Stegostoma tigrinum: one gene and its partner. The protein of the gene in region 1 interacts with the protein of each later gene in a pairwise test. Links are inferred from orthologs where the notes say so. Each region holds a gene or a part of one and is shown on either strand. Other genes may lie near its edges.

Region 1 (3,913 bases):
TTCATCCAGCTCACCGACTCCCACAGCTACCTAGGATACACCTCCGACCGCCCGCCCACCCACCCCCCTGCAAAAATTCCTTCGCCTCTGCCGCATCTGCTCCCAGGATGAGGCATTCCACTCCCGCACATCCCAGATGGCCACGTTCTTCAAGGACCGCAACTCCTTGGCCCCCCCACCCCCAAAGAGAAGTCAAGAACGCCCTAAACTGTGTCTCCCGCATTTCCTGCAACACATAACTCACCCCGCCCCCGCAATAACCGCTCTAAAAGAATCCCCCTCATCCTCACATACCACCCCACCAATCTCTGGATACAATGCATTATCCTCAGACACTTCTGCATTCTACAATCCAACCCCACCAACCCCATCCCCACCCTTGTCTGCATTCCGGAGAGACAACTCTCTTCGTGACTCCCTTGTTCGCTCCAAACTCCCCTTCAACCCTACCACACCTGGCACCTTCCCCTGCAACCGCAGGAAGTGCTACACTTGCCCCCACACCACCTCCATCATCTCCAACCCAGGCCCAAAGATGACTTTCCACATCAAGCAGATGTTCACCTGCACATCTGCCAATGTAGTATACTGTATCCACTGTACACGGTGTGGCTTCCACTATGTTGGGGAAACCAAGCGGAGGCTTGGGGACCACTTTGCAGAACACCTCCGCTTGGTTCACAATGAACAACTGCACCTCCCAGTCGCAAACCATTTTAACTCCCCCTCCCATTCCTTCGATGACATGTCCATCCTGGGCCTCCTGCAATGGCACAATGATGCCACCCGAAGGTTGCAGGAACAGCAACCTATATTCCGCTTGGGAACCCTGCAGCCTGATGGTATCAATGTGGACTTCACAAGCTTCAAGATCTCCCCCTCCCCCACTACATCCCAAAACCAGCCCAGCTCATTCCCGCTTCCCTAACCTGTTCTTCCTCTCACCCATCCCCTCCTCCCACCTCAAGCTGCACCTCCATTTCTCACCTACCAACCTCATCCCACCTCCTTGACCTTTCCATCCTCCCTGGACTGACCTACCCCCTCCATACCTATACTCTCCACCTATCTTCTCCTCTATCCATCATCGGTCCGCCTCTCCCTCTCTCCGTATTTATTTCGGAATCCTCTTCCCATCCCCCTCTCCGATGAAGGGTCTAGGCCCGAAACATCAGCTTTTGTGCTCCCGAGATGCTGCTTGGCCTGCTGTGTTCATCCAGCTCCACACTTTGTTATCCTGGATTCTCCAGCATCTGCAGTTCCCATTAGCTCTGATCTCCATTCATCCCACTGCGTCTGCTGTGATCCCCCAAAGAACATCCCGCTAGATCCACCTTCCCGCTAGATCCACCTTCCCACCCCCATCCCTGTAACACCACATTTACCTTGTGGCTAATCCAGCTAGCCGGGACTCTATGGGGCAATTTAGCATGGCCAATCCACGTAACTGAAAAATTTACACTTCAGCAGTCAGTTATTCTGATCCCTGCTGTTCTGTGCTACTCTAGAAGCATGCCCTGGGCCAAGGAGAACGTGGCACGGGGTGAGACTGGGTGCTCACTTTGCCCAGCTCTGTCCAGGCCGGAGCAGTTCCAACAGGGACCAACAAGCCAGCTTACAGCCAGAAGAGATGAAGGAACAGTTCAGGGTCCCGAAGCCCCGTCTTTCTCACTCCACTCTCCATGCTGGGTGAAACACTGTACCGAGAACTCCCCTAGGGGATACTCTCCCTGACCAGGTACCCCATGGTCACTCAGGGCTGGGGTAGAGAGCCCTGTACTTCTTCACCTCAGGGCTGGGGCGGGGGAAGAGACCCTCCCTGCACGGCCTCCCCAGACACTCACATCAGCTCAGGGCGGTGCCGGTGGATGATGGCACAAAAGGCAAGCCCGTCCCTGAAGCTCGAGCTCATGTTCGTCACCTCGACCCCCGGGTATCCCAACACCTGTAGACGGGCCCATTCCTGCAGCGCTCGGGTCGCCATGGGAGCGGCTCCAGACACCCGCCACTTCCGCTCCTCGACACTCCTGTTCCGCCTACTGCGCCCCCTACAGACGCCCAGGGTACTGCAGCGCGACACAGCGCGCCCCCTCCGACCACCAGGGGGACTGCATCGGTCCGAGATAATGGGATCTGCAGACGCTGGAGAATCCAAGGTAACAGTGTGGGGCCAAGCAGTATCTTAGAGGAGCACAAAAGCTGACGTTTCGGGCCCTGCATCGATCCCTAAGGTCTGGGCCTGAAACGTCAGCTTTCCTGCTCCTCTGATGCTGCTTGGCCTGCTGTATTCATCCAGCTCTACACTTTGTTATCTCAGATTCTCCAACTCTTATCATCTCTGTTAATGCATCCCGACACAGCGCGCCTCCTAAGGCCACAAGGGGAACTGGATGGCTACACAGCGCGCCCACTCTGGTCAACAGGGGAATCGCACACCGACACGGCGCGCCTACTGCGGCCACCGGAAGGAAACTGCACACCGACACAGAGCGCCCACTATGGCCACCAGTGGAACTGCATAAAATCCAGAAAAAGTGGATGCTGTAAATCAGGAAGAAAAACAAAAATTGGTGGAAAAGCTCGGCAGGTGTGAGGGAGAAAACAGAGTTAACGTTTCAGGTCCGGTTACCCTTCCTCAGAACTTAGAGCTTACTAGACCTGAAACACTAACTCTGTTTTCTCCTTCAGATGCTGCCAGACATGCTGAGCTTTTACAGCAATATGTTTTGTTTCCTGATTTACAGCATCTGCAGTTCTTTAGTTTCTTACCTGCACTAATCCAACTGCATTATTACTGCCCTATTAGTCTACTCTCAATCATCTGTAAAGTGATGGATGGTGTCAACAACAGTGCTATCAAGCTGCACCAGCTCAGCAAAATCCTGCTCAGTGATGCCCAGTTTGGGTTGCTCCAGGGTCACGCGGTCCGTAACCCCGTGACAGCCAAAAGAGCTGAATTCCAGAGGTGATGTGAGTGACAGCCCTTGACCTCAAGGTCACATTTGATTGTGTGGTATTAAGAAACCCTAGCAAAACTGAAATCAGTATGTATGGGGGCAAGCTCTCCACTGATTAGAGACATACCTGGCACATGTGAAGATCATTGAGGTTGTTAGGGGTCAGTCATCTCAGCTCCAGGACACCTCTGCAGGAGTTCCTCAGGGTAGTGTTCCATGCCCCAACCATCTTCAGCTGCTTCACCAATGATCTTCCCTCCATCAAAAAGGTCAGAAGTGGGGATGTTTACCAATGTTCAAAACCATTTGACTCAGGTACTGAAGCAGTCCATATTCAAATGCGACAAGATCCAGGCTTGGGTTGAAAAGTGGCAAATATGATTTATGCCAAACAAATGACAATGACCATCTCCAGTAAGAAACAATCCAACTTCAACCCTTGACGTTCAATGGCATTACCATCACTGAAACCACCACTAGTCACATCCTGGGGGTTACTAAACTGAACTCAAACTTAACTGGAGTAGCCATGTAAAGATTTGTAACCACAAGAATGGGCTACAGGCTAGGAATACTGTCATGAGTAACTCCCTTCCTGACTCTCCAGATCTCATTCACTATCTACAAGAGAGGGTGGAATAGTTCCCACTTGCCTGGAAGAAAGTAACTCCTACCACATTCAAAAAGCTCAATACTATCCAGGAAAAATTGTTTCTTGATTGGCAGTTCATCCACAAGCATCCACTCCTCATTAGCAGCAGTACATACCATCTGCAAGTTGCACTGCAGAAATTCACCAACAGTCCCCAGATAACATCTTTCAAACCCACAATCACAACTGCCTGAAAGGGCAGTAGATGCATAGGAATGCCACCACCTGAAAGATCCCCATCTGAGCCACACAACCCTCCACTGGCTCCCTCTGCCTTCAACTTCTGAGCCAGTTCTGTATCCAA
Region 2 (3,913 bases), on another chromosome or scaffold:
ACGAACCTTCCAGCTCAGCGAGCAAACTCTCATCCAAAATAATATCCCTCCTATAAACAGGGAGACCAGAACTGGGTACAGTTCTCTAGAAGAGGCCTCATCAATGTCCTGTACAACCTCAACATAACATCCCAACACCTTTACTCAAAGGCCTGAGCCTTTAACCATCCTATCTACATGTGAAGTAAACGTCAAAAAATTATTGATATTATTAGAATTATTTACCTGAATCCTTAGGTCTCTGTTCTACAACACTAACCAAGGCCCTACTTTCTACTACAGAAATTGTGCATTTGTTTGTTTCACCAAAATGCAATATCTCACATTTATCAAAATTAAATTCCATCTGCCACTGTTCAGTCAATTAATTGAACTGCTCAAGATCCCTTTTCAATCTGCAATAACCTTAAATGATGCTTTCCATTTTGATCCTGAACATTGCCAGAGACCGAAAATGACTTCATCTGTACCTGGATAAACCAAATCCCACTGGAGATTTTGCAACATGACACTCAAAACCTACAGAGATAATGGGAACTACAGATGCTGCAGAATCCGAGATAACAAGGTGTGGAGCTGGATGAACACAACAGGCCACGCAGCATTTTAGGAGCACAAAAGCTGACGTTTCGGGCCTAGACTCTTCATCAGAAAAGCTTGCTGTGTTCATCCAGGTCCACACTCAAAACCTACAATTCACCGGCTCTGTTGTCTGGAACAGTTACAAGGGCTGCATTTTACCAGAAATCATTCAAGTCTCAACTTTGGCTCGCTTCATGTAAAGTGAGTCCTACTGAGTTCTCCAGCACTATTTTCCACAACTTGCCCTGTTAGCTGTGCCTCGCAACATCTTCCGTCCGGTCAGAGGTAGAGTTTTATTGCCACAACTGGATTTCCAGCAGTAGGGCCTTTTCCACGGCAAGCCATGCGCCTCTGCTGGCAAACTGTTCTCCTTCACCGTGCGCGGACCGAGTTGCCACCAGAAGAAGAAATGCCTCTTGAGATGACACCGCTGACGGTTTTGCGGCGACATTTGCAAACGCACTGCCTAGTTAAGAGCCAGGCCACCCTCACGGCTCACGCTCGGCGTCAATCCATCTTGGAAATCTAAGGGAACGCGAAGCCTTTCCCCGATTCTGGTTTGACATCTTTCCCCACTTGTCCGGGTGGTTGGGGGGGGGGGGTGGAGCGGCCGGAGAAGCCGTCGGCTTCAAGCGACTTGAGCCCGCGCGCGCAGAGAGAAGCCGTTGGTTTACGTCACCGGAACAGGTGACACGAGGGTGGGCGGGAGCACGGCTCCTTAAAGCGGAGCGGGGCTCGCGGAGTCTTTGAGAGGGATCTAGGGGGAAGGTTTGGGCTTGTACTCGGGCTGCTCGCTCGCTCGCTCGCTCGCTCGCTGAGGCAGTTAAGTGGTTTTTATTTTGGGGGTTGGGGAAAGTTTAAAACAAAACCGAGGCTTTCTGTCAGCATGTTCAGCTGGCTGGGGACGCACGACCGCGGCAAAAAGGACCCGGAGGTCTTTCAGACGGTGACGGACGGCCTGAAGAAGCTCTACAAAACCAAGCTGCTTCCCCTGGAGGAACATTACCGCTTCCACGAGTTCCACTCGCCCTCCCTGGACAATGCGGATTTCGACAACAAGCCCATGCTGCTGCTGGTCGGTCAGTACTCCACCGGCAAGACCACCTTCATCAGGTGAGCCGGACCCTCCATTCACTGTCCTCCTATTTCTTAATATGTCTCCACCCGCCGCCGCAGGGAGGTGGGCATCGCGCGGGGAAATGAGGCTACTGCCCTGTCGCGCTGTCACTCGCCCTCCCAGGGAGGAGGGCATTGAATGGGGAAATCCGGCTGCCCTGTGTCTCCCTCCCTCGCTGCCCCTCCACCAGGCAGGTGGGCATTGCGCAGGGAAATGAGGCTGCCCTGCCCCACTGTGCCCCCACGGAGGAGGGCAGAGGGCACTGCTCTTGGCTGTTCTCTTGCTCTGCACCTATTGCCTAAGGAAGAAGTTTTGAAGGCCGTGTACAAGGTTCTCAGGCTGCCTGGTTAGGCTCTTGATCTGCCATAAGGAAAATAGGTGGGAACGTATGGATCGATCGATTGATTTCAGCTGGCTGGCGGAAACTAGGCTATGTCATACCTGAGATCTGCTCCAGGCAGGAATGTTGTTGTTGTTGTTTAAAGAAATCGGATCCCACCTGCATTCACTATGCCCAAGATAGAGGTGTCGCTGAGGAGGGTGTAAGGGCTGTTTCTGTCAGTTATCAGTAATCAATATACACAGTTAATAGACATACAGCATAGACAGAGACACTTCTGTCCAACTCATCTGTGCTGACCAGACATCCCAATCTGACCTTGTTGCATTTAGTCCATGTCTGCATCAGCTTGGTTTAATTGTTAATTCTATCTGTCAACAAGTTGTAGCTTCAGGTCGTCCTTTTGGAGGGTTATTTGGCCTTCTGATTCTCCCCTGTCATGTTTATCTGCTTTGCTATTATGGATAATGTAGGAGGGGGCATGGCCTCATTATGAGTATAGTACTGACAGCAAGGTTTCTGGTACCATCACTGACCGCATTGTAATAAGCGGTATGTCAGGTTCCAAGTGATAGATTGTAATTTCTAGTCTGGAGCATACAAGGGTGTTTCTGTGGCTGTCCTCAAGATGGCATGTTGCCTCCTCGGTGCAAGAGTCATGGATCTCTAAGGGTGCAGAGTATTCTGAAAGGGGAGAGTGACCAGCAGGAAATTATTATGCATGTTGGTACCATTGACATAGGTAGGGAAAGGGATGAAGTGCAACAGAGAGAATGTAGGAAACTAGAGTGGAGGTTTTTAAAAAACTAGTCCTCTAGTAATATCAGGACTATTACTTGGGCCATGTGCTAGTTAGAGTAGAAATAGGAGGATACAGCTGATGAACGTGTGGCTGAGGAACTTGTGCAGAGGGCAAGGACTGCTTTTTTCTCTTTGATCATTTCTACCCCAAAGATTCCAAATGACAGGGATGGGTTCCCTGTGAGTTGTAAGTGACCAATATCTTGGTGGGGAGATTGCCCAGTGCTACTTGGGAGGCTTTCAACCTTAAAAGGGTGATGGGGTGAGAACCAAAGCAGTGACAAGAGGCTGAGGCTGGTACAGTTGAGAAGGGGAGCAAGGCAAAAATAAGACAGGACAAGGTAAGTCCTGGGGAAAAAATAAAACAAAATTATCTCAATACAAGAGTCCTGATATGTAAGGCAGATGGATTTAAGGCATTATTGGGACTGTGGGATTGAGGAATCATAGCTATTGCAGAAATGTGGCTCAGGGATGGACCGAACTTGCTGCTTTGTGTTCCAGGGTACAGATCCTCTGGGAAAGAGGAAGGGGGAGTGGTGTTTAGTTATAGCTGTACATAAGATAATCCTGGGAGCTCATGCAGTGAAATTATATGGGTGGAACTGAGAAATAAGAATAAAGGATGATCACATTGAAATTGTACTATAAGCCCCCAAATAGTGAGAAATTAAGAAGCAAATATGTAAAGAAATCTCCGCTATCTGTATTGAAAAAGCAAAGACTGATTAACATGGCTTGTGCATGGAATCGTGACTTGCTAACTTAGTTGAGTTATTTGAAGAGATGATAGACTGACAGCAGAGGACAGTAGACGTCGATATGGATGTCAGCAAAATGTTCGAGAAGGTTTTGCGTGGTCGTCTGGTAAGTAAGATTAGATCGCGTGGAATCCCGGTTGGCACAGGCATGGTGGCCCAAAGGGCCTGTTGCTACGTTCTCCTATGTCAACTCCCTTTTATTCTTCAAAAATGCCCTGGGATATTTTACCTACACCTGAGAGCAGACAGGGTTTGGGGCATAATAACAAATATTTTTTAGCTATTTGATCTAAATGGGTGCAACCTCCTTGA

What was found.
Region 2: the proteins of micall1a (region 1) and EH domain-containing protein 3 interact in binary tests that used the Homo sapiens proteins (3 or more experiments, as listed by UniProt). The link is inferred for Stegostoma tigrinum from reciprocal best matches to the Homo sapiens genes MICALL1 and EHD3.

The regions. Positions count from the first base shown.
Region 1 is NC_081391.1:1,646,351-1,650,263, reverse strand, and holds the start of micall1a (MICAL-like protein 1), read right to left. Parts: upstream 2,396-3,913; 5' UTR 1,985-2,395; coding exon 1,845-1,984; intron 1-1,844. UniProt on the Homo sapiens protein: Lipid-binding protein with higher affinity for phosphatidic acid, a lipid enriched in recycling endosome membranes. On endosome membranes, acts as a downstream effector of Rab proteins recruiting cytosolic proteins to regulate membrane tubulation.
Region 2 is NC_081357.1:12,806,641-12,810,553, reverse strand, and holds the start of EH domain-containing protein 3, read left to right. Parts: upstream 1-1,393; 5' UTR 1,394-1,468; coding exon 1,469-1,695; intron 1,696-3,913. UniProt on the Homo sapiens protein: ATP- and membrane-binding protein that controls membrane reorganization/tubulation upon ATP hydrolysis. In vitro causes tubulation of endocytic membranes. Binding to phosphatidic acid induces its membrane tubulation activity.